7 linked regions of the Rattus norvegicus genome follow. The protein of the gene in region 5 interacts with the protein of the main gene of each other region in a biochemical or structural test. Links are inferred from orthologs where the notes say so. Each region holds a gene or a part of one and is shown on either strand. Other genes may lie near its edges. The genes, in order: Pten, Ezr, Abcc2, Nf2, Nherf1, Abcc4 and Tbc1d10a.

What was found.
Region 1: the proteins of Nherf1 (region 5) and Pten form a complex in vitro, tested with the Homo sapiens proteins (3 studies listed by BioGRID and IntAct). The link is inferred for Rattus norvegicus from reciprocal best matches to the Homo sapiens genes NHERF1 and PTEN.
Region 2: the proteins of Nherf1 (region 5) and Ezr form a complex in vitro, tested with the Homo sapiens proteins (2 studies listed by BioGRID and IntAct). The link is inferred for Rattus norvegicus from reciprocal best matches to the Homo sapiens genes NHERF1 and EZR.
Region 3: the proteins of Nherf1 (region 5) and Abcc2 form a complex in vitro, tested with the Homo sapiens proteins (2 studies listed by BioGRID). The link is inferred for Rattus norvegicus from reciprocal best matches to the Homo sapiens genes NHERF1 and ABCC2.
Region 4: the proteins of Nherf1 (region 5) and Nf2 form a complex in vitro, tested with the Homo sapiens proteins (2 studies listed by BioGRID). The link is inferred for Rattus norvegicus from reciprocal best matches to the Homo sapiens genes NHERF1 and NF2.
Region 6: the proteins of Nherf1 (region 5) and Abcc4 form a complex in vitro, tested with the Homo sapiens proteins (3 studies listed by BioGRID and IntAct, with this or other methods). The link is inferred for Rattus norvegicus from reciprocal best matches to the Homo sapiens genes NHERF1 and ABCC4.
Region 7: the proteins of Nherf1 (region 5) and Tbc1d10a form a complex in vitro, tested with the Homo sapiens proteins (2 studies listed by BioGRID and IntAct). The link is inferred for Rattus norvegicus from reciprocal best matches to the Homo sapiens genes NHERF1 and TBC1D10A.

The regions. Positions count from the first base shown.
Region 1 is NC_086019.1:240,042,379-240,046,952, forward strand, and holds the start of Pten (phosphatidylinositol 3,4,5-trisphosphate 3-phosphatase and dual-specificity protein phosphatase PTEN), read left to right. Parts: upstream 1-1,328; 5' UTR 1,329-2,188; coding exon 2,189-2,267; intron 2,268-4,574. UniProt on the Homo sapiens protein: Dual-specificity protein phosphatase, dephosphorylating tyrosine-, serine- and threonine-phosphorylated proteins.
Region 2 is NC_086019.1:49,375,368-49,378,985, reverse strand, and holds part of Ezr (ezrin), read left to right. Parts: intron 1-1,700; coding exon 1,701-1,864; intron 1,865-2,043; coding exon 2,044-2,174; intron 2,175-2,971; coding exon 2,972-3,132; intron 3,133-3,481; coding exon 3,482-3,574; intron 3,575-3,618. UniProt on the Homo sapiens protein: Probably involved in connections of major cytoskeletal structures to the plasma membrane. In epithelial cells, required for the formation of microvilli and membrane ruffles on the apical pole. Along with PLEKHG6, required for normal macropinocytosis.
Region 3 is NC_086019.1:252,630,610-252,634,707, forward strand, and holds part of Abcc2 (ATP-binding cassette sub-family C member 2), read left to right. Parts: intron 1-184; coding exon 185-319; intron 320-537; coding exon 538-645; intron 646-1,184; coding exon 1,185-1,240; intron 1,241-2,652; coding exon 2,653-2,884; intron 2,885-4,003; coding exon 4,004-4,098. UniProt on the Homo sapiens protein: ATP-dependent transporter of the ATP-binding cassette (ABC) family that binds and hydrolyzes ATP to enable active transport of various substrates including many drugs, toxicants and endogenous compound across cell membranes.
Region 4 is NC_086032.1:83,871,327-83,875,424, reverse strand, and holds part of Nf2 (merlin), read left to right. Parts: intron 1-1,184; coding exon 1,185-1,402; intron 1,403-3,134; coding exon 3,135-3,240; intron 3,241-3,808; coding exon of another isoform or gene 3,809-3,862; exon of another isoform or gene 3,863-3,907; intron 3,908-4,098. UniProt on the Homo sapiens protein: Probable regulator of the Hippo/SWH (Sav/Wts/Hpo) signaling pathway, a signaling pathway that plays a pivotal role in tumor suppression by restricting proliferation and promoting apoptosis.
Region 5 is NC_086028.1:100,911,792-100,915,889, forward strand, and holds part of Nherf1 (Na(+)/H(+) exchange regulatory cofactor NHE-RF1), read left to right. Parts: intron 1-2,840; coding exon 2,841-3,002; intron 3,003-3,757; coding exon 3,758-3,911; intron 3,912-4,098. UniProt on the Homo sapiens protein: Scaffold protein that connects plasma membrane proteins with members of the ezrin/moesin/radixin family and thereby helps to link them to the actin cytoskeleton and to regulate their surface expression. Necessary for recycling of internalized ADRB2.
Region 6 is NC_086033.1:102,179,677-102,184,214, reverse strand, and holds the start of Abcc4 (ATP-binding cassette subfamily C member 4), read left to right. Parts: upstream 1-1,302; 5' UTR 1,303-2,850; coding exon 2,851-2,924; intron 2,925-4,538. UniProt on the Homo sapiens protein: ATP-dependent transporter of the ATP-binding cassette (ABC) family that actively extrudes physiological compounds and xenobiotics from cells.
Region 7 is NC_086032.1:83,305,237-83,308,138, reverse strand, and holds the end of Tbc1d10a (TBC1 domain family member 10A), read right to left. Parts: intron 2,759-2,902; coding exon 2,569-2,758; intron 2,485-2,568; coding exon 2,330-2,484; intron 1,784-2,329; coding exon 1,316-1,783; 3' UTR 961-1,315; downstream 1-960.

The sequences.
Region 1 (4,574 bases), on a different chromosome or scaffold from region 5:
TGTAACCAGCTCCCCAGGCGCTTGGCCCCGACAGCGCTCCTGCGGACCGCTCGTGGGTGCTATTCTCCGCTCTGACTCCGAAGAGAGGGGTTCAGCTGCCTACACGGGGCATGGGGTCCCGGAAGATCATCTAATAGAGAAGAGGGGACCAAGCTCCTGCCTCAGGAGCACACAGATAGGGGAATGGGAATTTGGAAAGTTCCCCAACTAGGACCACACGTGACCTCCTCCTGAAAGTAGTTCCGACTGCGGCTCATGTATCCTTCCACCTAGCCTTTGAGCCCTCCCAGGCCTGCTCGCCCCGCCCACTCGCTGGCTGCAGCTTCCGACCGTCCCATACTCCACACCCGGGCTCAGTAACCGGGTCCTCGAACGTGCACCGTCCGACAGGGTCAGAACTTGGCCACCGCGATCCAATTCTGCCGGGTTTTCTTAGCGGCCACGAAGGGGGAGGGGCGGCTTATCTCCTAGAAGATGGAGCCTGACTGTGATCCGGTGGACCTACCGCTGCGGGGAGCTGCGGGGCTCTTCGCCGGGAGGTGGAGGGGTGTGTGTGAGGTGCACTCTATTCACGGAGATCCACTTTGTCTACCCAGGGGTGTCCTTTGGGCCCTGGAAACTCAGGGGCAGATGTCAATGTACACGCCCCGTATGCACAATCATCATGCTTGGCTGGGAGCGTTCATCTTTCGGGCAAATGAACCCAGCTGCCTGGGAAGCAAGAGGCGGGGCAGGGAACCGGAGCCCGATGAGGTGACCCACGCGGGAGACACAATAGGGGGTTGTTCTTTGTGCAAAGACTGACACCTTGAGGACACCGTGGGGGTGAGGTGCGCTGTCTAGGTAAAGACTTGCCGCCGACAAATCCTAGGAAGCACTGCAATCTGACCACAGCGCAGGGCAGGGCGTGCAAGCCGCTCGAAAGAAACACAGGGACCTACGCAGGAAGGGTGAACCTGGCCCTGAGGTTCCTAGGGTGCTGACCAACGCGGTCAGCTAGTCCGATCCACCTGTGAGCGGTCAGCGATCCTGCTCCGCGCACCCTCGCTCGGCCACAACCTGCCCTACCCTTTGCCGGGTCTCTGCGCTGAGGCCGAAGCCGGCGTAGCTCCAGGAGCGAGCCGCGGCCACACTGGGCATGCTCCGCGGCGCTCCCCGCCCCTGTCCCACCGACGCCCCGCCCCTCCCCGCCCCGCCCCTCCCCCGGCTCGGCGCCCGCCTCTCGCCTCCCTCCGGCTTCGGAGGCGCCCGGCTCTCCCGGCTGGGTGGCGGAGGGGGCGGGCTGGCCGGCGCACGGTGATGTGGCGGGACTCTTTGTGCACTGCGGCAGGATATGCGCTTGGGCGTCGGGACGCGGCTGCGCTCAGCTCTCTCCTCTCGGAAGCTGCAGCCATGATGGAAGTTTGAGAGTTGAGCCGCTGTGAGGCCAGGCCCGGCGCAGGCGAGGGAGATGAGAGACGGCGGCGGCCGCGGCCCAGAGCCCCTCTCAGCGCCTGTGAGCAGCCGCGGGGGCAGCGCCCTCGGGGAGCCGGCCGGGCGGCGGCGGCGGCAGCGGCGGCGGGCCTCGCCTCCTCGTCGTCTGTTCTAACCGGGCAGCCTCTGAGCAGCTTCGGAAAGAGACGGTGGAAGCCGTGGGCTCGGGCGGGAGCCGGCGCAGGCTCGGCGGCTGCACCTCCCGCTCCTGGAGCGGGGGGGAGAAGCGGCGGCGGCGGCCGCGGCTCCGGGGAGGGGGTCGGAGTCGCCTGTCACCATTGCCAGGGCTGGGAACGCCGGAGAGTTGCTCTCTCCCCTTCTCCTGCCTCCAACACGGCGGCGGCGGCGGCGGCACGTCCAGGGACCCGGGCCGGTGTTAAGCCTCCCGTCCGCCGCCGCCGCACCCCCCCTGGCCCGGGCTCCGGAGGCCGCCGGAGGAGGCAGCCGCTGCGAGGATTATCCGTCTTCTCCCCATTCCGCTGCTTCGGCTGCCAGGCCTCTGGCTGCTGAGGAGAAGCAGGCCCAGTCGCTGCAACCATCCAGCAGCCGCCGCAGCAGCCATTACCCGGCTGCGGTCCAGGGCCAAGCGGCAGCAGAGCGAGGGGCATCAGCGACCGCCAAGTCCAGAGCCATTTCCATCCTGCAGAAGAAGCCTCGCCACCAGCAGCTTCTGCCATCTCTCTCCTCCTTTTTCTTCAGCCACAGGCTCCCAGACATGACAGCCATCATCAAAGAGATCGTTAGCAGAAACAAAAGGAGATATCAAGAGGATGGATTCGACTTAGACTTGACCTGTATCCATTTCTGCGGCTGTTCCTCTTTGCTTTTCTGTCACTCTGATAACGTGGGAGTAGACGGATGCGAAAATTTTCTGTAGTTGGGGTGACTATAACGTTTAATACTGGTCGCGTTTCTAGATCGTGTATTTTCTGTCTCTTCCAGTGTATTCAACCTAGGGAGTGTTCGGCTAGACGGAACTCATGCCTGCTTGCAAGTGTCAAGGCACGGATTGGTTTCTTGTCGAGCTCTGTGGTTTGTTCTTAAAATCTATTGTCCGTTAATGCAGAGTACTGTACACTGGATTAGTCGGCTCGTCAATCGAGCCTTCTAAATGAACTAAAAAAAATAGACGCTGTGGTGTCGTGCATATTTCGATTAGATCGTGACTTAGGCCCTAGATCTAGGGTATAGATCAGATTAAAATGAAAGTCCGTGCAGCACGTAGGCATATTGCCTCAGAATCTTGCAGTGATTTTTTTTTTTTTTTTAGTTTCCTGGGTTGCATTGGAAGATTTTTCTAAAATGTGACTTGTGGACTGATTTGCATAACTTTATAAGCATGGTCATCTTCAGCCTAGACCGTGCACATTTGAGGGTAGAAGTAGGTTTGTGTGTTTAAACTGAGGTAATTACAACTTTGGAGCTGCATTTAGAAGTTTTGTAGTTTGAAATCAATAGTATTATTGGAGCTTTTAATAGAACTTTTTTAAATTAGACTTTCCTGATGGGGCGTGGGATAGGATATGAAATTTGCATTTCAGTAGTATGTTCATTCACTTGGCCTTGCCATACATGATAGAATGGAGATGGAGTAGTTTTTGATCCCAGATGATGGTGTCTGTGGGAGTTTAGGGATGCTGTGTCTGTATGGCAAATGACTGCAGAGGTTAAACTCAGCTCTCACGTGAGATTTAAGGAGTAGCATGAATTTGCTGCTTTTTTTTTTTTTTTTTTTTTGGTTTCAGGTGCTCTGACCCGTTGACTTATCTGTGTGTTTTACCCTGTTTTGTGTAGAACATCAAATATAATTTAGCCAGCTAATAGCCAGACATACTGGCAAGAATGGATCACCATCTCCAGACTGTAGGTATGCTAGCTCTCTGCATACAGTAATTTACTGAGTCAGCTTGTTGAATAAGAGAAACCCAAGAATTTTAACGGCGTAGAGTCGTGATCGTCTAAAAGTTAGGTCTTTGTACTTCAAAAGTTCGTGGTTTAAAGCATTTACCGTTGCAGTTTCAGGTATGGCAGGGGTAGGAAAGAGAGGCCTCCTCTTTTGCAGAGTGGGAAGTATTGACAGAAATTGAGAGGTTTTGGGAGGCCAGTGTGTCAGGTGTGTGAAAACACAAGTTGCAGGTCTGAAGAAACAGCCTTTAAATGATTGGGCCTTTTGTTACAACCCAAAATTTTGTTATGTGACAAGCATTGAAGTGAACAGTAAGTATTTAGTTAAAATTATGTAATTGCGTAATCAGTAATAAGATATTCTTTGCAAAAGGTATTTCTTAGTTACTATTAGTAGATATTTTCATAAGATAGAAGGACAGCAGCAACTTGTCTATACATGTCCGGCTAATAGCATTATGGGACACTTTATTTATTGAAGAAAAATTTTCACTTGGAAGAGGTTTGATGGATTGCGTTAATGGTGTAAAAAGCATAGCTAATTTTGATGGAGTTTTTGTTCTGAAATGAAGATGAAGCTCACTGAAGAGCTGGCTTCACAGAGGCTAATTTTCTTTCAAGCTAAAAATACAGTTTGAGAGGAATCTTTAATTTTTGAGTTTGCATTAATTGAGAAAGCTTCACTCAGGGTGAACTTGACCCTTCTAAAAGATAATTGGAGAAAATTCCAAGTTGTCACTTGCTTCAAGGCAGTTTACTGTTGGTACAAATTAATGATAGTAATCTTCATCTAGAAGGAATAGTCAGGTACCTATTTAATTAAAAAAAAAACCCACATTCAAAGAAAGATCTAGAATGCCTGATAGACTTCTCGAAGCTTCCAAAGTACACTTCTGCTTTGCTTTGCCCTTCCCATAGGACTTCAAGATTATTTTGTAAATTTTTTTTTAGTATGAGAGTGACGTGATTGCAGTTCCTTATTTGATTTCATAGTGCATGGGCTTCTGCATGTGCAATTTATGTGGCTTAGAAATCCAGACCTGTACTTTTAGTTATGGTATGCATAGAAAGCAGTATCAAATATTGCATCAAATGACTAATAACACTTAATTTCTAGAGCTGTGGTTTGATTGAGCCCAATGTTGATGTGAAAACGAGTCAGTAGGGGAAAAGTCAGTGCTCTTCCGAGAGGGGTG
Region 2 (3,618 bases), on a different chromosome or scaffold from region 5:
CCTCAGGCAGCTGTTCAGTGGCTTTGAACTGTTGGAAGGAGCCTGCACCCTGCTGAGCTGGCTGCTCAGGGCAGCCTCTCAGGAGCCCCTCTGACAGACCCCAAATGGTTCTGGGATTGGACTTTGGCCTCATGGGAGCTGTCTGGGACTGTGCCTGGCAGGATTTGGGGTGTCTCTGTTCAGTTTCCCTTACTCTTCCACCTGATGTTTGCTTTTAGGGCCTAGGCTGTCCATCCTCTGAAAAAAGCCTCCCCTGGTCTCTCTTTATGGCATTAAAATGTTCCCCAAGGACTTGAACTCACAACTCTAACTTGGAGTCACAACTGACTTCTGTCAAAGGCACAGGAGAAATTCCTTCTCCTCACCCATCCAGCTGCCGCTGCTAACTCTGGAGTGTTTTCTAGTAGTTTCTGAGTCTGTTTCTTGTAGGCAGGGGTTGGGGGAGCCTCATGTTAACCTGTAGTTCTAACTCTGGGATTGTTGTGATGGTTTTTTCCTAAAGGGGAGTTGGTGCATTTCTTTGCACGTACCTGTGAGTCACAGTGGGACATTTTTGGGCCCTGTGCCTTTGAGGCCATGGGCCAAGGTTGTTTTCTCCTGTGCGATAAGAGATAGGTGGGTAATAAAAAATTCCTGTTTCTCTTAGCCCTGTGGACTCCTCCCTGAGAAGCCCAGTGACTTAATAATCAGTCTGTGAAACCAGAGGGGAGCCCCACCCAGGAAGTTGAGGGTTCCAGGCAGCCTCCTGTAGTCAGGGGAACTAAAGGGCCACCATTTGGTGTGGTACATTTGGAGGGAACCAGGAGGCATTTCTAAATAGACCAAGCCTCCCCACTGTAAACTAAGCTAATCCTGGAAGGAGCAAGAACTTAGGAGGCAAGGTTGTCTGTGGCCATGGCCCTCAACCCGTGTGTGTATACTGGTGACAGAGTTTCCAAATACTATGCTCTGCCCTCCTCTCTGAGAAAGAAACCGCCTCCATTGTGAGCACATTAAGGCAGCCGGCCCAAGCAGCCTCTGCACATAGCAGCCAGGGTTTACCGTCCCAGGTACTACTAACACACTGTTCCAAGTTCCTTGTGACTATTTTTTCCGACTTAGTCTTATGGCCTTCCCATTATACTGTTGCCCTTGTTCTGTGGCCATGAGGCTGAGTGACAGAGTGTAGGATGCTCGAAGGTGTGACGGCGAGCTCAGGGGTAGTCAACATGGTTGGTAGGCCTGACACCGGAAGGCTGTGGTACATCCCTGGTTCAGGAATCCAGAGCAGTGGGTATCAGGGCAGTCTGTACGAGCCCGAGAGCTGAAGGGCTTGGCAGGAGATGCGGAGCTCAGAAGTTAAGGTGAGGCGTACACAAAGGGACGGGCAAGGATGAATGGTGACAGGCTGGGGAGCTGGAGAAGCAGATACCAAAAAACATGGTACACTGGGAGGCCAGTGATAACCAGCTTCCTCAGTGCAAGCCTCGCTCTGTAGGCCGAGATCTAGCATGTACACACCCAAATATACAAGTGGATGCACATTCCCAGGACCCCTCCCACTTGGCCCACTGAGCATATATTCAATATACAGGGATTGGCCCCCCTCCTCTATGGCCTTTGGCCTTTTAGAGAAGCCAAGAAACTCTTGTGAAGTGTGGTCTTAGGAAAGAAGGCCATTGAAGGAACTGAGGCCAAGGCCGCCCTGTTGTGTTTTGTAGGACTTCGTGTTCTACGCTCCCCGCCTGAGAATTAACAAGCGGATTCTGCAGCTCTGCATGGGGAACCACGAGCTGTACATGCGCCGCAGGAAGCCCGACACCATCGAGGTGCAGCAGATGAAGGCCCAGGCTCGGGAGGAGAAGCACCAGAAGCAGCTGGAGCGGTGAGTGACCAGGCAGGACCGTCCCCGTGAACTGTTCTCGCCTGGTTTATCACAAACCATCCAGACACAAGCTATGGCATCTCTTTGCTTGTAGTGGCAAACCAGCAGCTACGTCTGCAGGTCTGGGTCTGTGTGAACCTCACCCTTCCTTCCTTGTCTCTTCCTCTTCCCTATACCAGACAACAGTTGGAAACCGAGAAGAAGAGGAGAGAAACTGTAGAGAGAGAAAAGGAACAGATGCTCCGGGAGAAGGAAGAGCTGATGCTTCGGCTGCAGGACTTTGAGCAGAAGACCAAGAGGGCAGAGAAAGGTCAGGAGCTCATGCTGCCCGCCCTTCCCCCACAGTCACTCCGAAGTTGGTTCCCCCAGAGAGTCAGGCAGGGTTGGCTCACAGCCAAGAGGGAACTTGTTCAAGAGTGCTGTCTCTGTTTAATACAACCCCATCCCCACCCCCAGACAGAACAGAGCAATGGCAGTGCCATCATTGAGAGTAGAAAGCAATCCTGTGCTTTATTACTGTCTGTGCCTGCCATTGATCTCACACACACACACACACACACACACACACACACACACTCACTCTCACACTCTGCTAAGAATGTTGAACTTTAGTTAGATGCCACATCCCCTCAGCACATACCGGCTGTCACAACCAGCTCGTGACGTCTCTACCATACATCCCAGGCCCTGCCCTGCAGCCCTGCCCTCTGAGGACATTTTAGAATAGAGAAGAGATGCTATTCAAGCAGGCCATTTCTATGTCCCAAGTCAGAGTCCAGGTGATGAGTCGTTAAGGCTATTCTGCCTCAGGCTGCCATTACTGGGGTGCAGCAGGGTCAGAGAGGTCAGACCTGGCCCCAGGAACCATGATATCTGACCAGCTGCTCCTCAGTGGTCTCTCAGCACAACTGAGGAAATTATCTTAGCAGCGGCAGGAATGAGCCCCGAGCTGTCCCTGCTCACAGCCCAGTGACTCAGTCCAGGACTTTGTGATCGGGAGATGGGCTTTCACTCAGTCTCCTTCAGCCCACTTGAGGTGGGACTGGGATGCTAAGGCTCATTTCCTGCCCGGGAGTCTGAGCATCCCTGACTCCATGTTCTCTGCAGAGCTCTCCGAGCAGATTGAGAAGGCCCTCCAGCTGGAGGAAGAGAGGAGGCGAGCCCAGGAGGAGGCTGAACGTCTGGAGGCCGACCGCATGGCCGCCCTGCGGGCCAAGGAAGAACTGGAGAGACAGGCACAGGATCAGATAAAGAGCCAGGAGCAGCTGGTAGGGATTGCCTGGTTTCAAGATGCTGAATTATAGAGAGGCTGCTCTTGGGGAATCAAACAAGTGACATCTGCCTTTCAAAGCGCTCAGCTAGTGCTGTAAACAGATCTGTACAGGGGGGTTGGGGGGAGGGCTGGACCTGTCTGAATCCTCAGTCAGGGAGGTGGGGGTGGATGTGGATGCTCAAGATCCCAGAGACACAGGGAGGTGCCTACATGGTCTCCTGAGCAGGAGGAGGGAGGGGGCACAGCTCATCACCAGGAAGGCCGTACATTCTTGTGGGCAAATGTTGCTTCACCAATGGACTCTGCCAGAACGATTCAGCATACCCTTTTACCCTCCCTTGTAGGCTGCAGAGCTGGCAGAGTATACTGCCAAGATTGCCCTGCTGGAGGAGGCACGGAGGCGCAAGGAGGACGAGGTGGAGGAGTGGCAGCACCGGGTGAGTGAACCCCAGAAACCAGGCATGGCCCTGGGGTATTTCTT
Region 3 (4,098 bases), on a different chromosome or scaffold from region 5:
AGAAGGGAGGGTTTAATAGCATCAGGGAAGAAACGTAAATTGGACATTCATGTCTTCTCTGCCTGGCCAAGTTAGCTTCCACAGTCCCCTCCTTCAGCTCCCATTTCCCCGATGTTCCCTGGCGGCCATCTTTCTCTGCCCTTGGTGGCGGCACTGCTCTTCTGAGTTTTACGTTTTCCTCTAGCTCCTGGTTTTGGCAGTCCAGCACAGCAGGCAATGGTGTGTACGAAAGAACTCTTGGTTCCTGTCTCTGTTCTGGATCCTCTCGGTCTTATGCGGCGTATTCCAGTTTCAGACTCTGATACGAGCACTCCTGAAGGTAAGGGGGAAAGGGAGATTCCTTCCCTACAAAGATGCTTGTTCCAGAGCCTCTGGTAGCCAATAGAGGTCAGACAGCACAGCCTCAAGCAGTCTTAGTTTGGGGATAGAGTCATGCCAAAGGGCTTAGTGAGGGCTTTCAGCCGTAAGCCCGATTGTGATAAAAGACTCTGGTTTTTTGTTTCTTTGTTTGATTGTTTGCCTATCTTGCACCCACAGGACAGCAAGTCCAACATGGCCTACTCCTACCTGTTCTTCGTCTCCTACGGTTTCCAGATTGTCCTCCTGATTCTTACAGCCTTTTCAGGACCAAGTGACTCAACACAAGTGAGACTCTACATACACTAATTCCCTATATTATTTCATTGATGGATGCCCAAGCAGAACCTTGGAGATGTCTGGGTTTCATGGAGGTCTCATGATAAGGGTAGATTGGATATCACTGACCCAAAACTCTAACATCCAAATTTCCCCCAGATTTGAAAATTTTCAAAACAAAGACTGTACAATATTAAAAATGCAAATTGGAAAAAACTTCAAAACCAGAAACATTTTCCGTCCCAAATTGCAGAGAAGAGATACTCCACCTGTAGTCTCGAATGTTTTATGTATAAACCAACAGAGTGCTGACCATGTAGGAATACTGACTTCCATAGTCACCTGTAAGTGTGCAGCACAGACGGTTAACTCTCATATCTATGCCAGAACGTCTGGTGTTAGTGCCTCGGGGTAAGCACACTGACCAGCCAGCACATGGATAATAGCTGAGTTTCTAAAGCCAGGTCTAGAAAGTCAGTGTCTAATTTTAGACCCCCACAGAGTTCTTATTTCCAACCGACTTACTTCTTGATGATTTTATTTTTCAGACTCCATCAGTCACGGCTTCCTTTCTGAGTAGCATTACATTTAGTTGGTATGACAGGTAAGCAGTGCCCGGAGTATGGGTTCCTGTATCCTGATATGCTCACTTCTTTGAAAGTGAAAATAACGCTCAATTTTAAAACAAAATGCCTCCCATGGCCTCCACTTCTCTTCGATTTAGAGTCTAAGAGTGTTAAAACGTGTAGGTCAGTTCAAGCCAGCCCTTTTGTTGGACCCATTAGAATGAGGAGGAGAAACTAGAAGGTAATCGTTTCTGAGCGTTCCATAGGAGAAACAGAAGGAGACAAGAAAGGGGTTCATGGAGGCAGGCAGTGTGGACCAGGGAGAGGGGAAGGGAGACACAGCAGCCTGGCCTATCAGAGGGTACAACGGATATCTTTGTAGTTTGTGAACCTTCTGACAGGCTGATGAGGCCCATAAGTGTTTTAGAAATATTAGACACAGGGTATAAACATGGTCAGAATATCTAAAGAGCGAGTCCGTGGGGCTGGGGAGATGGCTCGACAGCTAGGATTCTTGCTTTACTTTCAGAGGATCTGAGATAAGTTCCCAGCACACACATCAAGTGGTTCACTTCCTGTAACTGCAGCTCCCGTGGGATCTCAGGCCTCCACTCTACACAGGCACTGGCACATGTGTGCATATACATTCTCTCTCTCTCTCTCTCTCTCTCTCTCTCTCTCACACACACACACACACACACACACACACACACACACACACACGCACAGGCACACAGGCATACATGCACAGGCACACAGGCACACATGCACATACATACATAATTCAAAGCTAAAGAAAGCAAATTTGAGATATAGTAATGCACATACTTTAAAAATCAACTCATTAAATTTAAATATCTAACAACAAGGATATCCTAACTATCTATCTGATAAGAATCATAATTTGAAAGCAGCAATTACTGTGAGTTAGCTATGGAAACATCTACGGTTTCTCCTGGTAACAAAGACACCATGTTATGCTCATATTAGGAGAAAAGGCTGGATCTCAGTTATGGATTGTTACAAATAAAGGTGAAGCTAGTTTTCCATCCACATTCTCCAGCCCTGAATTGGATAGGCCCGATCTAGACATAGACTGTGAAGACAGTGGTGAGGTCACTCCATTTCCTAAGGGCATCATGGAGCTCCCTCGAGGACCTGTCAGAGTGTAGAGAGGTGGCCGGTACCTGATGGAGAAGGAGCCATAGGAGGACTTTTGATTCAATAGAGCCTCTCTCCGTCTCTTCTCCATCCTGTCTTCTAGCATATTCTCTTGTCTCTGTGCTCTCCCCCCACGCTTCTGTCAAATAAAGGACCAGGAGATGTAGACAGTGGAACAGTAGAGAAGTCCAATGCTTCATCCTCTGCCTCAGATCTGGAGGATAGGTTCTGACAGAAGCAGACTGACGTAGCCCAGAGAGACTCAGCCTGTGGACTGTTCTCATTCCAGGACTGTTCTGAAAGGTTACAAGCATCCACTGACACTAGAAGATGTCTGGGATATCGATGAAGGGTTTAAAACAAGGTCAGTCACCAGCAAGTTTGAGGCGGCCATGACAAAGGACCTGCAGAAAGCCAGGCAGGCTTTTCAGAGGCGGCTGCAGAAGTCCCAGCGGAAACCTGAGGCCACACTACACGGACTGAACAAGAAGCAGAGTCAGAGCCAAGACGTTCTCGTCCTGGTAACTTTAACTCAAGTGTCCGTGTGAATGCACTGTATGTCTCCGGCAAGAAGCAGAGTCGTTTCTGAATTTTTTTTTCTTTCCTCACATTTTCATACCATTCTATATATTTGCACTGCAGTTTACATTAGTGGGATGCACAGTTCTAATAAGGCCTGAGTGGTCGATGCATCCGTGTATAATATACTGTTGTTTCTCCTATTGAATATATTTGAAGTTTTTTGTAGTATAAAATACTAGTGATGGTGATGATGATGGTGATGATGGTGATGATGATGATGATGATGATGATGGTGGTGGTGGTGGTGGTGGTGGTGGTGGTGGTGGTGGTGGTGATGATGATGATGATGATGATGATGATAGCAGCAGCATTAGAAGAGCTAGGAGGATGGCTCAGTGACTAAAAGCATTTATCACACGAGGACTCTAGCGACCTGAGTTTGAATACCTAGATAAAAGCTAGACACCATAGTACAAGTATCTGTAATTCTAGCGTTCCTATAGGAAATGAGAAATGGAGGCAGGGCAATACGCAGAAGGTCTTTGCCAGTTAGGCAGATTGATGTAAAAGAGAAGAGACCGAAGGGTGGTCTTGATGGGTTGGGTCTTTGTTTCTTTTTGGTGGCTGGTACTGTCTCTGTGCTGAATATTGTGGTACTGCCATCATGGAGTCAGTTGTGTTAAGGTCTGGGGCCATGTTACATGCCGAGCTACAACTTCAGACCTTGGGTTTTTGAAAGTCTTTTTTTAAAAATGTAGTCAAGGCTGGCCTTGAACTCACCGTGTAGCTCAGGCTGGCCTCGAAGTCACAATCCACCTTAGCCTCCGGAGTACCGGAAGTCTGTCCATGAGTCTTTGTGATGCATTCTCTCTAGTTTACGCATCTGCTTCTCCAATCTGAAAGAGATTATGAGTTAGAAGCAGGGGAGAGAAGCAGGGAGTGTGGGCAGGAGATGAGAAGAAGATTACGACTATACAGAGAGGGTAGCCGGCTCACAGGCCCTGCTGAAGAAGCCTGGAGCCATTCCAAGCACACAGTCTTACCATCCTTGTACTGCACAACTCTGTGAACACGGTTGTTTTTTTGTTTTTTTTTTTTTTTTTCGGTCTTGTACTTAGGAAGAAGCGAAAAAGAAGTCTGAGAAGACCACCAAAGACTATCCCAAATCGTGGTTGATCAAGTCTCTCTTCAAAACCTTCCACGTAGTGATCCT
Region 4 (4,098 bases), on a different chromosome or scaffold from region 5:
CTTGCGCTTCCTAGGCAAGCGCTCTACTACTGAGCTAAGTCCCCAACCCCTTATTTCAGTCTTTAGAACATCAATGCCTTCTCCCTTTAGAAAATTTAGGATCCGTTCATTTGTAGCCAAACTCTACTTTCGCAACTGAGTTACCGTTGAATCAGGGACCTTGGCCTTGGCCCTACCAACTCTCGGGGAATAACACCAACCATTATCTGGGAGTGGTCCTCTGCTTCAAGGATATAGAGTCCCTGTCTCTACTGCTAGCTGCCAGCAGCACCACTCCAACCTTAAACATGTCCTGGGGCTGGGATGTGGCTCAGGGGCAGAGCTCTTCTCTAGCATGCCCATGGCTCTCTGTTTTTATTTATTTTTATGTCTTCGTTTGGGGCCAGGGCTGAGTAGGAAGAGGCAGGTTTCCGATATCCCAGACTTGACTTTGAACTCATTATATAGCCAAGGATACGCTTGAACTCCTGATCCTCCCTGCCTCGTTTACAGTGATTGCATAAAAGGCACACCTGCCACGCCCAGCCTACCTTGATTCTCTAGCACTGCAAGAAAATAGTCTCCAGACATTTTCATGGCAGTGGGCATTACAGACCTGCTTTTGAGTCACTGACTTAGAGGGTCAGGACCGAGTTTTAAGTTGAATACTCCCTCACAAGCATACCTTTAGCTGCAGTGCATTCTATACACAAATGCTTTTTCCTTTCGGTGGGCCCTGCAGGGCCCTGCAGAATACTTGTCAGACAGACCCGGAGTGTCTTAGCGGGAATCGCAGGAAGGTTAAGACTGGCTCTTCGCTGCTTGAGAGAGTTCAAGAGCACTGGCTGCTCTTCCATCGGACCCAAGTTCAATTCCCAGCGTCCACCTGGCAGCTCATCACCTTCTGTAACTCCAGCCCCAGGAGATCCGATGGCCTCTTCTGGCTTCTAAAGTTACTGCATCTGCATGTACAGGTGCACAAACATTTATGCAGGCAAAATACCTATATACATAAAAATAAAAGTTAGAATGCTAAAAATAAATAGAAAGACCATACTTAGGTTTTACATGGGTGCTGGGGATTTAAAACCAGGTTTTGTTGCCTGTGCAAGGAGGCCAGAGAAGCAAGTGTAGTGTCTGAGACTGCTCTCCCCACATGCAGCTAGGCACTGAGCCTATGCTGTCTGAAACACTTGCCTTCTCAGATGCGGTCTGAGGAAACAGCTGACCTGTTGGCTGAAAAGGCTCAGATCACAGAAGAGGAGGCCAAGCTTCTGGCTCAAAAGGCTGCAGAGGCTGAGCAAGAGATGCAGCGAATCAAGGCCACAGCCATTCGGACAGAGGAGGAGAAGCGCCTGATGGAGCAGAAGGTGCTGGAGGCTGAAGTGCTGGCGTTGAAGATGGCTGAGGAGTCAGAGAGGAGGTGAATGGTTGGTTGTCATGGGCACTGGGACTTGGTAAAGGGTTGTTTACCTGGTTTTGACCCTACGGGAGCTGGTTGTAGCATCTTCAAACTTGTCTGTTGTGGAACAGGACTATAAGACATCTTCCTTGACAGGCTGGTGGGATTGGAGCTGGGGGGTGTGGGGCATAGAATATAGGTTTCCAGAGAATCTCTGTGTCGTGCCTCCACAGCACACAGCTGTCCTTCTAATAGTGACGTTTGTGTGGAACATGTTTAAGCCCATTCATAGACTGCTTTGACCAAGTTGCTGCTTCAGAGAGGAAGAGGCTCTTCAACATTAACAAACAGTGTGTGATGGTCAGGTAAGGCCTGGAGAGACAGCTCAGAGGTTAAGAGCACTGGCCATGTAATTCCAGTTCCAGGGGATGTAACCTCCTCTCCGGCCTCCATGGGCACCAGGTATGCTCATGGAACACATGCAGGCAGATACCTTTATACATATTAAAATAATTTTTTAAGGGGAGGATGAGGGCAGGGAGATGGCCTACTCAGCAAAGTGCCTGCTGCACAAGTATGAAGACCTGGATTTTTATCCCCAGCACCCACATAAACCTGAGCCTCAACACAAGAGTTGAGAGTGAAGCCTCACTAGCCAGCGTGTCTAATTGAATTAATGAGCACATGCTTAGTGAGAGACCTCCACTAAGGTGGGGACCAGTAGAGGATTATAACAGGCACACAAGCACACCCACCCGCCTACCCTTGGTTTTTTTCTCTTTTGATATAGATCAGTGGGGCAACTATTTACTTCAAAGGGAAACTAAGTACCCATTTCCCAGTGGTTTTTTAGGCAGTTAGGAGAGCAGGGAAGCTGTGTTTTTTGACCAGGTTGCTGCAGCTTGTAGCCAGGTTGAAGGGTAGAACTGTTGTCTGTACTCTTTAGACTATTCTAGGCTCTGAATTGTTCTAGTCCTGCAGCCTTCCGATAAACACTGGCATATTCCCCACGGCATCTGGCTCTGTTGATTTAGAGCCCTTGAATTTGGCTCTTAACTAGGAAAGTACATTCACTACACTTTTTCTCACCACTGTCTGCATGTCACTCTGAGAATATGGTTCCTTGATGCCTGCCCACTCCAGGCCCCTTTCTGTGTATGGGTCTATTTCTAGGGCTAGACCTCTGGGCAAGCTTTCTGTGCTACTCCTAACCTGTAGAGCAGGGCTTGTGATACTCTTCTTTGCCCAGCCAGACCTCTGGGTCCTACCCACTCCTCCTCTTCTCCATCTGTTTTGTTGTTGTTGTTTTGAGACAGTGTTACTTTATAGCCCTGGCTGGCCTGGACTCAGTCTGCCCTCAAACTCAGAGATCTGCCTGCCTCTACCTTCTAGTGCTGGAGTGAAAGGCATTGGATACCACACTTGTTATTTTTGTTATTTTGAGATTGCCATCTGCCTGTGTTGCCCGGCTGACCTCTGATTCCTTGGCACAGACACAAACTATTACACGTTTCTGGCTTGCAGAACTGCCACTTTGGTTGTTTCCCACCAGTGACCCCACGTTTCAGTCTAGCTTTACCTTTAGGATAATCGGTTCTCAGGAATACTGTTCTTACTTTAGAAGTTCTGGCTTCCTGTATGTCCCTGTCACCATGTCCTGGTTTGCCTTTTTCAGTGCCATGTACAGGGTTAATCCAGGCCATCTCCCTGACCCCTTCTTTGGAGCTGACTTTTTTTTTTTCTTTCTTTGCAGGGCCAAGGAGGCTGATCAGTTAAAGCAAGACTTGCAGGAAGCCCGAGAAGCAGAGCGAAGAGCCAAGCAGAAGCTCTTAGAAATCGCCACCAAGCCCACATATCCAGTGAGCCTGGGCTCAGTCTGGCAGCTTTTGGCTGATTTAGTCTGGCAACTTTCCTAAACCTCCAATCCAACCCTTTAGTTTACCTCACATTGCCTTCTGGGCAACAAAGCAAGTTCAGGGCATGGATAGGACCTTCTTGGTCTGCCATTTAGCCTTAGGCTGACCAGTCAATTACCTCTCTTGGTACTTAGATAACAGATCATAGGGCCCTTTTCAACTTTCGAGTGTTTATGACTCTGCTATAGTCTACCCTCAAGAGAATTTGCTGTCTAGCTCCCTACTGCCTAGCTAAGTGTAATCTTCAGTTGTTGGTATATACTATATGTTACAGTGTAGTTCTGTGAAGGGACTGAGTATACACCTCAGACCTCAGAGTGAACTACTGTTGTGCCAGAACCAGCTGTCAACCTCCAATTTGGGACAGGTAGGATGACATGTACTAAGTGCAGTCACAAGACAAGTAGACCTTGCTCCCTTCTTTTCTTCTGTACATTCTACTCTGCAAAGTTTTCACTCACTTTTCTTCTATTTATATAATATCATCAACCGGAAATCTCTATCCTGACAGATATGCACAGGTGCCCAGACAGCCCAGCCTTGGAGGCAGAAAAGCTTGGCATGACTGACTTCTGCAGAGGAGCAGGGAAGAGAGGATGGAATATTCTAGGCAAGGATATAGTATATTTACACCACAGACTCATAACTCATTCACACATATGTTACACGCATACTGCATGGTTGTATACATGACAACACACTGTACATTGGTACACATGGTACATTCACAAATGGCACAGGTGCATTTAGGACGCAGAGACCTAAGAGCCCAGGGTTTGAGTTAGAGTTTGCCATTGCCAC
Region 5 (4,098 bases):
CCTTAGGCGGGATCTTCCCAGCCTTCCTGGTCCTCCTGTTGCCAAAAGGATGCAAAGTAGACCTTTGAATTCTAATGGTAGGCGTCACTAGAAAAAAATGGATACTGAGGTGACGCTTTGTACTAAGGTGCACTGGGAAAAACCCAGAGCACACACTTGAAACCAGAAGGTGGTCATAACCAGGGAACCTAGCCCAGCCCTGCCACCTCCCCTGAACCCTCAGCCTGGTTCTAGCCACGGTGCCAGCCCGGGCATGCTCACAGCCTCGTCACCCAGGCCAGACTTTATCCATCCACTCAGGCTGAGGTTTTGACTGAAAGAGGTGTGGAGGCTACTGGGAGGAAGCCTGTGGTTGCGTGAGCTCCCAGACACCTGGTCAGTGTGAGGAGAGCCTCCGCTGTCTGCCTGTGACTGGCTTCGCTCCAAACGGGCTGCCTGGTTCTGGACCCAGTGCTTAAGAACAGATGATGATGTGGTGGTGGGAGTTAAGGCAGGCGGATCTCCAGTGAGGCTGAGTGGGTTTTTCCCTTCTCAAACACAGTCTCAAACACAGCGAAGCAGCTTCCAACCAGGCTGCTGTGGGAAGTCTGGGGTAAGAGAACCCTGGGGAGGGTGGGGAGGAACCTGAGGCAAACTGAGATTCCACAAACCGAGGGCCACGGGAGGTGTGTGGCTGAGGCAGAAAGTTGAGCCTGTTGTGGTGGCAACAACTGGTCAGACCTGTTCCGGCTCACCTAGGCAGCCTGGGGGAGGGCCCGAGGGTGATGGCAGCTTTGTACAGGGGATTAGCTGGAAGGAAGCGAATCCTCACTCGGAACTCCTGAGGTGCTGGCGGTTGGGAGGTGGGGCTGCTGGAAGGGAGGGGCTAGGTCCCAGCAGGGTGAGGAGGGGCCTTCCGTGGCTACCTTCTCTTTGCTGCCCATTTGGTTGTCTTTGCTGTTTGAGGTGAGAGTTAATTTTTTAAGTAGCCACTGGGGAAAAAAATCCCAAGTATCAACTTCTCTGTCTTCTGTACCCTACCAAACACCCCGAAACAAATATACAGTGCCTGCCCAAGTGTTCTTTTTTCCACCTTTAAAATTTATTGTGTGTGTGTGTGTCTGTCTGTCTGTCTGTCTGTCAGAGTGCCATGGTTAGAGGTTAACCTGTGGGAGTCACTTCTCTCCTTCTGCTTGGTAGCAAACGCCTTAACTGGATGAGCAGGCCCCCACCCATCAAGAGTGAAGGGTTGGCATCGGAATGCTGACACATGGAGCGCGGAGGGGCTGGGGGAGGGCTCCCTTCACTCTTTCCTGCTCTCCCTTGCCTTTTGTAGCCCCAGCTAAGGATTTGGGTTTCAGAGCAACCTGGCACACTACCCTCCTCCACCCAGCATCTCAGAGTTCCTGGACTGTTCCTTAGGAGCAGGAACAGTGGTAAAGTGTTGGTATGCAGAGGGACTTAGTAAGAACAATGGTGACATCCAGGTCCAAGAGCTCCAGAGGGTTGCTTTATACAGTGCCATTATGTCATTGTGCCCCAAAGGCAACCAACGGGGTAGGCAGGGTAAAGGCAATAAGCATCTTCTATAAAGGAAAACCCTGAGGCCCAGAAATGGAAATGATTCGCCCCAAGTCACAAGGTAGTCAGGGACCTTAGGGTAGGTGACCACCCAGGGTTAGCCAGCCAGCCATTGTCCAGCAGGCTGCCCAGGCTTGGAGTTAGGGTCAGAGTAGTGCTTTGCTTCCAACTCCTGCAGCCTTGTGCCCATATTCTGTCCCATCTGTCAATCAGTGTGAGCATCAAGAATCCATCTGTCAGCCAGCGTACTGTGCGAGCGTCATCAAGGTAGTGGCTTCAGAGCCGAGCCTGCCTGAAGAGAATGGAAAACGGTGAAAGTTTTTCCCAGCTGAGTGCACAAAGGACAGCCGTTTGCATCCTTTGGGAGGCTGGTGAGATGGCTCAGTGGGTCAAGGCACGAGCTACCAAATCTCACAACCTGACCTCCCCTCACCCCCCATGGTGAAAGAGCACCAACGCTCACAAGTTGTCCTCCGACCCCCATATGTCGTGGACGCTGGTGTATGCATACTCTCTTTCCCGCACTGAGTAATTTTAGATGAAAAGTAACAGGTCCTGCTTTCCAGGCCACGTAGATGACATTGGCCCTGCCCTGCTCCTCAGGGCCTCCTCCCCATATGAGTCCCTGGGGATTAATGAGCAGCGCCCCACCTGTCCCACCTCTCCCAACCCCCATTCCTGTTGCTCCCTATGTCCTGGGCTCGATATGTCCTGGGTGACCTGAGGATGGTCCCTTCCACCCCGGGATCCTTCACCCTGACACCTACCAGGTTTCAGTCTTTCTGTCTCACATTTGGCTGGGCCGCCTGGCTCACCCAGGTCAAGAAGGGAGCCCACTGGAGAAGAAAGGCTTTACTGTACACAAGCTGTCCAGCTCTCAGTAAACAGCTATCCTTGCCTTCACAACAGAGAACAGATACATGGGCCAGGTGCCCACTCCTGAGCCTCAGGTATCCGGCCAGGCTAAGAGGGCCAGATGAGCCCTAGGTGGGGCAGGATTCTACCCAAGGAGGAGCAAAACATGTAATAGAATGACAAAGAGGGGAGCTAGCCGCCGCAGGGACAGTGGCTTGTTTAGAGCCACTCAGTCTGCTTCAGCGCTGTGTCCATTCACATCTTCTGAACCCTGGGCCAGATTCTCTCGTATTGCTCTAGAGTCTCCAATCACCATTGGATCGTTCATGAGCCTTCTAGGTGGGGAGGTAGCATTGGGCTGGGTGGGCAGAGAACACAGGGTCGGGACAGTAAGGAATGACACGGATGCTTCTTGTCCCTCGCAGTGTGAGCTCCGACCCCGGCTCTGCACCATGAAGAAAGGCCCCAATGGTTATGGCTTCAACCTGCACAGTGACAAATCCAAGCCAGGCCAGTTCATCCGAGCAGTGGACCCGGACTCACCAGCAGAGGCGTCTGGCCTCCGGGCCCAGGACCGGATTGTGGAGGTGAAACCCTTTACCGTGATCTCCAGGCTTTTCCCTCCTAAGCTTTGGTGCTCTGGGGCAGACTTCCACCATGTGTGGTTTGGTTAACCCATGGGAAATGGCCAGCGCAGAGATGCTGGATGGCAGGCTGCTCTGAGGGTAGACAGGAGGAAAGGGGGTAAGGGAAGGCTGGAGGTATAGCTAGCAACTTGGTGGGCACACAGACTGGCTGGCTGGCTGGCTTCTTTTCCCATCTCCGGTTCCGGTTTACCACGTATACGCTTGATTTACCTGCTAAAATCTAGACAGATACCACTGGCTGCCCTCACGGCCTTCTTGATGCCTGGCATGAGGAGGGGTTAACCCCACCCACCCCCACCCTCCTGAGCTTAGCTGTGAGACACCCTGTCCTTCGACTGCACTCAGGAGAAGAAATGTGAACTAAAGGCTTGGGCTGCTCCCAGAATCACAGTCTGAGAACCTTAGAGCCACAGATCAGCCTTTCCAAGACTTCTCACTTTACACGTGAGAAAACCAAGGCCCTGAGCGGGAGGTCGGTCAGAAGAGAGCCCAGCCCAGGCTCCCAGGCCTCTCCTCGATCACAGCTGTGTTTGTGTAGTCTCCTCTGGGTATTTTCTTTGGCTCTTCCCATATGTCCTGCTTCCCAGCTGACCGGCAAGAGAACCACTGGGAGGCACGTGAGGGAAGGCAGTGTTCTTAGGTGGGACCCCCTCCACCTACCCTCCCCAGCAACCCATCTCTGCCCTGCCTCTCAGGTCAATGGCGTCTGCATGGAGGGCAAACAGCACGGGGACGTCGTGTCTGCCATCAAGGCTGGAGGTGATGAAGCCAAGCTGCTGGTGGTAGACAAGGAAACAGATGAGTTCTTTAAGAAGTGCAGAGTGACCCCGTCCCAGGAGCACCTGGATGGTGAGTTCACAGTTGGGTGCCCCGAGCCAGGGGTGTGGCCAGTGCCTAAGGCCTGGTCAGACATGGGGGATAGTTTCTTCGATTGTTCTTTCTCCTTCCCAGACAGCCAGTGGCCCAGAGTGTCTGAAGGTGGCAGGTGACAGCAGTTAAATGGCATGAAGGAGAGGGTTAGGGTTTCAGTCTGTAC
Region 6 (4,538 bases), on a different chromosome or scaffold from region 5:
AACACAGTCCCCTATCGCAGGGGATGGGGCAGACACAAGGCAAGTCACTAGACTGCTAACTTCCCAAACTGAATTTCAGGCTTTGAAGTAGAACCGGCAGATGATTAAACGCCTGGGCTAGAAAATGCAGGGCATTTTAAAGAGCACCAGGAACTAGGTAAGGCCTGTTGATTTTGACGTATGAGAAACCATGGAGGGCGAGGGTGCATGGATGGGAGCTCTGCGTTCCTGTGGAAATGCTTCCCTTTCTGCAACAGGATGTTTGAAACACATGCCACGGAATGCCATGCAATAAACGTCATTCAGCTCAAAACCATCAACACCTTGCTACTCTGTGTACCTGAGTTTTAACCAATTAATTAAACAATTAACTAATTTTCAGAAACAGATAAGTCGTTTGGGTTGGTCCTGAAGTCCTTAACTCAAGATATTCTTCCGCTGCCTCAGCCTCCTGAGGAGCTCAGACTTTACATCTATTATATATTTTTATATGCTTTTTATGTAAATACATATAATTCGGGTGTGTGTGTGTGTGTGTGTGTGTGTGTGTGTGTTTGCGTGCGCGCGCGCGTGTGCATGTGCTATCTACTCTCTATGTTTTGTTTGGAGCAGGGTCTCTAACTGCACTGGAAGTTGTGAATTAGGGTAAGCTGGAGGACCAGCGTCCTCAGGGATCCTTGCCTTCCATCCCAAGCTGGGAATGTGGGCCACCATGCCTGTTTTTTTGATAGTGGGAGGAATTTGGGCCACTGTGCTTATAAGGCAAGCAGTTTACCTACTGGGATATTCTCTGGGCTCCAAAACTCATTTATAACATGTCGGTACATGGCTGTGATCCCAGCACCTGGGAGGTAGATGTTGGGAGATCAGGGGATCCAGGTCATCCTTGGTTATTTACGGAGTTAAGAGGCTAACCTGGGATACATGAGACCCTGTCTCAATTCTTCTCTCTAAAAACAGCTTCTTTACATATCCAGTTAGACCTAGAACTCCCTAGGTGTCCCATCGATCTTGAACTTCATACCTTCCTGCCTAGCGTGCTGCTGCCTGGCTAATTCCTTTTAGCTGTATTTATTTTTGCTCTCTGACCTCTCATGTATGTCTGTCTGGCTAGGAAATCCCTAGCCATCAAAGATGGGCTAGAGTTGTTGTTTCTCCTGTCTCCACTTCCAAATTGATGGAATTAAATCTGTGGGCACCACACATGACTTGACTTCTAAACAAATGCTTATTTGCACCAAGACTCTGTACAGAGTATTGTTATACCTTTAAATAAACACAGGAGGAATGACCAAAGAAAGCTGACTTAGTTAATTTTATTTTTGTTTTTTTTTTTTTGGCAACCAGACACAACCTAGAGTCACCAGAAAATCGGGAACTTTAACTAAAGAGCTTCCCAGATGGGCTTGACCTATGGCCTTTGTGAGAGAGTGTCCCATTGGAGATGGTGTGAGGACATCTGGAGTCAGCACTACCAGTTCAACAGAACAGGGTTGTGGCTTCAGCTCCTGGCCTGACTTCTCTCCAGGAGAGACTGTTGCAGTGGAAGTGTAAGCCTGACAGAAACCCTTTCTTCCCCGAGCTACTTCTGGTCAGAGTATTTTCTCACATCAAAAGGACGGGTAAAACTGTCCCTACCACCGTGAATTCTAAAGGGCTCTTCTTTCCTTACCCAGTGCTGAAGTGAACCGAACGGGCAGAGAGGCAGGCAGTTAACACAGAAACCAAGGCTTGTGAGCAGGAGTCCAAAAGCCAGGACCGTATCTTCCTCAGTGCAGCCTGGCACCTCTCATGCTCACTTGACCATCCCTAAAGCAGTTCAAGGTCACATGCCAACTTGAGTACAAATCAGATTTCATCATCACTAACCTTATGCTCTCGGACGAGCTGGATCTCTTGAGTCTGAATTTACTCAGTAAAATAGCAAAACCATCTCGAAAAGTAAATTAAAAGTGGAGTAGGTCTACAGAACGGCACACGGAGGGGTCCTGTAATATCGGTTCCTCTCGCCACTGATCCTCTGCGAGCCTCTCAGGGCTCGGTGAAAGAAACAGGCCAGGCGGTGTATTATCTGATTTCCCTTACCCAATCTAAGAGGACAGCCAACTGCTTACACAGGTCCGCCATGCCAAGCAATGTAGGAAAGAAAGGTCAAGAAGCCGCCCGAAATGGCAGCATTCGTTCATCTCCCCAAACCCTAGCGTCCTAATATCAGGTGGCCTGACTGTCTTCACGGCTTTCAGGTCGGGAAAGGCAAACAGATAAACCTTGCTGTTGTTCCAGGTCAGACTCTTGGCCTGCAAGTGGGGGAATCTCCTACAGCACCCCATTTGGTCCTGATGAGGGCAGCATGCCAGGGGAGGGCAGGCAAAGCTAGGCGGCTTTCTCCAGATCTCCAGGAGCGCAGAGCCCAGGGGGCGTTTCCGAGCGCGGGGGCGGGCACAGCACGCACCGCCCCCGCCACCTTCAGGGTGGTGCTTAGGCGCTGATCTTAAACTCCTGCAAAGTTTGCAACGGGTCCCAAGCACGTGCAGCTTCCCCGCCCGGCTCCGTGTTCCCCGAGCAGCCGCCCGGCACCTGCGCGCGGTCTCCGCCTTTCCCCAGCCTCCTTTCTCCTGCGCTCTCACGCGACAAGCCGCTCCCGGGCTCTAGGAGGCGGCGGCGACAGCGCGTAGCGGGCGCCCCGAGGAACCCCGGGAGGCGGGGTCTGGGCGGGCTGGCGCTGGGTTCCCGGAAGCCGCTGCCTGCCTCCGAGGCTCCCGCCGAGCGGACCGGCGCGGCGGCCGGAGCTCCAACATCCTCACCCGCGCCTCCTGGAGCCGCCTCCCGGCCGCACGCACCGCGGGCGAGATGCTGCCGGTGCACACCGAGGTGAAACCCAACCCGCTGCAGGACGCCAACCTCTGCTCGCGCTTGTTCTTCTGGTGAGTGCCCTGCCTGGGCCCGTTCCGCCGTCCACGAGACGCCCCGCGCCGGCTCAGCCGCGTGTCCGTGGTCCGCGCTGGTCCCGGACGGTCAGAGGATGCTTTCCCTACACCGCCACACATCCCGGGCTCCTTGCCGCGCGTGCGCCGCGCCGCCTGCGGTCCCCGCCCGCACCCCACGCTCGCGCTGCTCCCCGCCGGGAGGGGCACGCGGGGACCGATGGCAGACACAGGTGGCGTCCACCCGAAAGCGTGGGGATCCGTGGGAGGTGCGAGGGTGCCCGGGAAGGGTGAACCCGGCATGCTCACCTTCGCTAGTTTTCCATCTCGGTTCAGGGCTTGCACAACTCCCTTGCCCAAACTGCACCTCTTTATTTTTCTTTAAGCAGCTGTTAACAGCTGGCTTTGTCTAATCGCAGCTGAAGCTAGAGTCCTGGACCAACACCAAACGCTAGTGTCCCCATCGCCTTCCGAAACACCTTACCAGACATCTTTCAGGTTCATCGATTGCGTGTGAGTGAGTGTGTGTGTGTGTGTGTGTGTAAGGAAGGAAGTTTAATAGCTTCCCGGACCCTGCCTCTCTTTTTGACCCCTCTGTGTGTGTCCTAGTATCTTACTATGGCTGTGGGTTAAAAGATCACTTTATTACGATGTCTTATTTAGTTATGATGGGACACTACCCTTGAGCAAGATCTGCATGACGTTTCCCTCTTGACTGAAGGAGGGTAGAGGAATATGCTTTTCCTTGTTAGATGGACTTTTTTTCCCTTCTGCCTTTGATGACCATATCACTCTTGGGGATGAGTTTCTGAAGCCTGTGGTGGTGGTGGGGGTCTTATCAAGATCCGTAGTCCTCAGAGACAGGATCCATGTTCTCGATGCCTAAAACCACTGAGTGGGTTCCCAGATCTGATCTGGCCCCAGCCCCGCCCCTCTCGTTGTAGGAAACAGGTGAAGAGGCTTAGATAAACGACATTCCTAAGTAGTTTTCCACCTAGTAACCTGGGCTGGCTAGGGCACGCTTGGCTAACTAGAATAGTTTTTATTTCTTGACCTCTGCCATGTTGTCTTTCTCACGTTCTAATGTTCCCCTTTTAAAATGAGAAAGCCTAGGGAGTTTCGGAGTCATTTACTGTTGTTCCAATTGCCGATACAGTGTGTGCAGGATCCTTTTGGACACTCGGTAAAGAGGAGCATAATAAGGGATGTGTGGGAAATTAATAATAATAATAATAATAATAATAATAATATAATAATACTCAAAGCAGGCGGACTGTCTCAGTCTCCTGGGCTTTTGGCAACACACAGAACTCCTGATGACTTTCCCGTGAGTGGACTTTCAAAATGTAGGTGAAGAGAACTGGGTGTGGGCAGAGCATACCTACAGTTCAGTTTCTTGGAAGGCTAAGACAGGATGATGCTTGAGGAGCCCGTGGAGCTGAGACCAGCTAGGACAGTGTATCGGACACAATCTTTTGTTGTTTGCTCGCCCTGTGGCTGAAGGCTTGAAGTTCTAGAATGCACAGCAATCTTCCTTACTGCCTCAGTTCCCCGAGAGCTGGGATTACAGGCCTGAGCCACCGTGTCCATCAATACCGTCTTAAACAATGTGTG
Region 7 (2,902 bases), on a different chromosome or scaffold from region 5:
GGGAAACCTCAGGGGTGAGAGGCAGGAGGCCGAGTGTGTGAAGCTGCCCAGAGCCTCTGGTCAGCATTCGCCTCTCGGGCCTCAGTATCCCCGGCTGTACCAGGAGGACATTCTAGGCCCAGGCAATGCCTGAAAGTTCCCTGTGAGTCTGCCTCTCCCTCCCTGCTCCCTGCTATGGTCTGACCCAGCTTGGTCTGAGGCCAGGAACAACCACTATTGTTTGACTAGAAAAGCTGCTTCCTCAGCAGAAGGGGGGCCCTCTCCCAGGGACACCCTGTTCTCGTCACTGCCAGTTATCAGGTTGTCACTGAGCACCTGCCTGCCCCTCTACGGCAGTCTGCTCACTTGGGTGAGGGGCTCGGGATACAAATGTGGCTCTTGGAGGACAACATAGAATTCCTCTTATGTCAGGCACAGGCCCAGCCTGGCACGTGGACTGTGTCAGCAGATAGAAAGTAGCATTGTATCAAGGAGGCCAACTTCTCCCCTTACCTGTCTGCCTCAGGTGGAGGCCTGTGTCAGGCGTCTGCAGTGCCTTGCCCTGGTGGCAGCCCCTGATGCTGTGAGAGTGAGTTCTCAAAAGTTACCTGGGATCTGAAGTGAGCAACGCCTCAAAGTTCCTACCAAGGCTGTTTTTCCCTAGTCCCTGCTATGGTCGGCATCTAGATCTGGTCTTGGTGGAGGAACAGCTTTAGGCTACCTCTTTAAGGTCTACTCCCCACCCCCAATAAAGAAGCACAGACCAAGGTGTTGGGGACGGACGATTCCCTGCTCTGCCCCAGGGGTGGGCTTCAGCCTGGATTGACTGTCAGGAGGTGGACATGGAAGCAAAGATGGGTTGAAAGAGAAGAGCCAAGAAGAGCAGCTGGTTCTGGACTTAGTGTCTCCTGTACGTTTCAGAGGGGCTCCTGCTGAGGGACGAGGGATGATATCCCTTTGGGTCCCCAGCTACACGTCAGCTCTATATACAAGCCTGTTTATTTCCGTACAAAACCATATTTTCTATTTTACACAAAGAGTACCCCACCGCTTCCCCGCATGTCAGCACCCAATCCTTGGGGAACATCCCCCAGAAGGATGGGGCTGAGACCCAACCCCTTTGGCCACAGCTTCTGCCTATGCTGGCTGGACCAGCTCAACTCAAGAGAAAATAAATAAGGAGGCTCAGGTAGAACCTGTACTGGACCAGCCAGATTCTATCCCAGCCCAATGGCCAAGCAGTTGGTTCCTCAGGTGCAGAGGACCTGGAGTGTTGTCAGTCTTTGAACCGTGTAAGACAAGAGAAGACCCCGCCCGGAGGCTTGAGCTCCTGGGGTTACAAGTAGGTGTCCTCACTCTCCTGGGAGGTCAGGCTCTCTTGGGAATGGTGGTAGGCTAAGTTCTGAGGAGTAGAGTCCTGGGGAGCCGGGTCCTGGGAGACTGGATCCTTTGGGGGCGCATCCTGAGGAGGACATGCATCTCCTGAAGCAGTCACCACTGTGGCTTGATTGAGGCCTGGGGACTTGTCCGGTTGCCCACTGGTCTTTGTCCGCTTCTGCTCCTTCTGGGCCTGCTTGTGTGGCTTAGTCTTGGAGCTGGGGAGGGCTGCATCTGGGGGCAGGCGGATGGATGGTGAAGGTTGCAGGGCAGGTCGGGGACCAGGCTCTGCATCCAGGATGGCCTTGGCACCATGCATCCTGGGTGGAGAGCGACACTCCAGCTCACCGCGGGTCTCTTGCCAGCGCCGCAGCTGGATGAGGTGCTCCCGCTCAATCTGGCGCTCCGTCACAGGCAACTCTATCACCTTAGGGGCAATGAGGAACATGTGAGCACCAGAAGAGTGAGACCTTTCCCTCCTGCTGTCCTGCCCACCAGCATCCCTTAGCTGTCTGCTAATGGCTGACTCCATGGAGGATATAATTGTGGTCTGAGTGCCAGACATGGAGCCAGGGCCTCAGAAGGGACAGCTGGAGATGGGCACAGATGACCTCGTATGTCTGCCCCTGCAATGTGCACTAGGATGAGCCTGGGTGTGGGGTGTGGTCCCCACAGAAGCTGGCCATATGTGTATCTCTTAGTTTGTAGCCTCTGAAAACAAGTATCCAAAAAGAAAATAAGGGGCTGTAGATTGCAGCTCTTCTCTGTTCCCCAAGTGGAGTGGACCAGCTAAGACACTGCAAAGTGCCTCTTGGGCCCAACCCTCCTCACCTAGCAAAAGGATGAGAGGTCCAACCACCCTGCCCTGGCCTGACCAACCCGCCCTTGGGGCGGGGCCATGCAAGGCTTCCTCCAAAGTCAACTGCCAGCTCCCCTTCCCTCCCATAGCCAAGTGGGAGATGATGGTCCACACCTCCTGAACCAGGAAGGCTTCCTGCATGATCTTGGGGCTGAGGCTCCGCAGCTGCTCGATGGTTTCATACTGGCCCTGGCAGGCTCGGAGTTTCTCTGGGGAGCCTAGGGCATGCTTCAGCAGTACCAGCCCCACGCGGAAGATGATCTTGACTCCTGTATGGGGGCAGGTGATGAGTCCAGGGAGGCTTTGGGGCTTCTCTTGCAACCCCCTCCCCACAATCCAGCATAGTCTGGTACCTTCACAGAAGAACATGTCCCAAACTCGCAGCACAGAGCTCCAGGGGAGCGTGCGGGCAAAAGCACACATGAACCACTCCGTCATGTACAGCAGGGGGTCAATCTTCTGGCGGCTAAGGTGCTTGTGAGCCACAGGGGACACCTTCTGTAGCAGTGAGAAGAGGATCTCGCCATCCAGCTGGATTGCCTCCTGAAGAGACATCAAGGCCACAGCGCCATGACCATAGCCCCTATGAGTTCCTAGTACTGGGTGAACATTCAGTAATTCATCAGGTAGCTAGAACCCTAGAGCACTGGAAGACAGATGAACAGACCAGACAGACGGTCCCTCAGG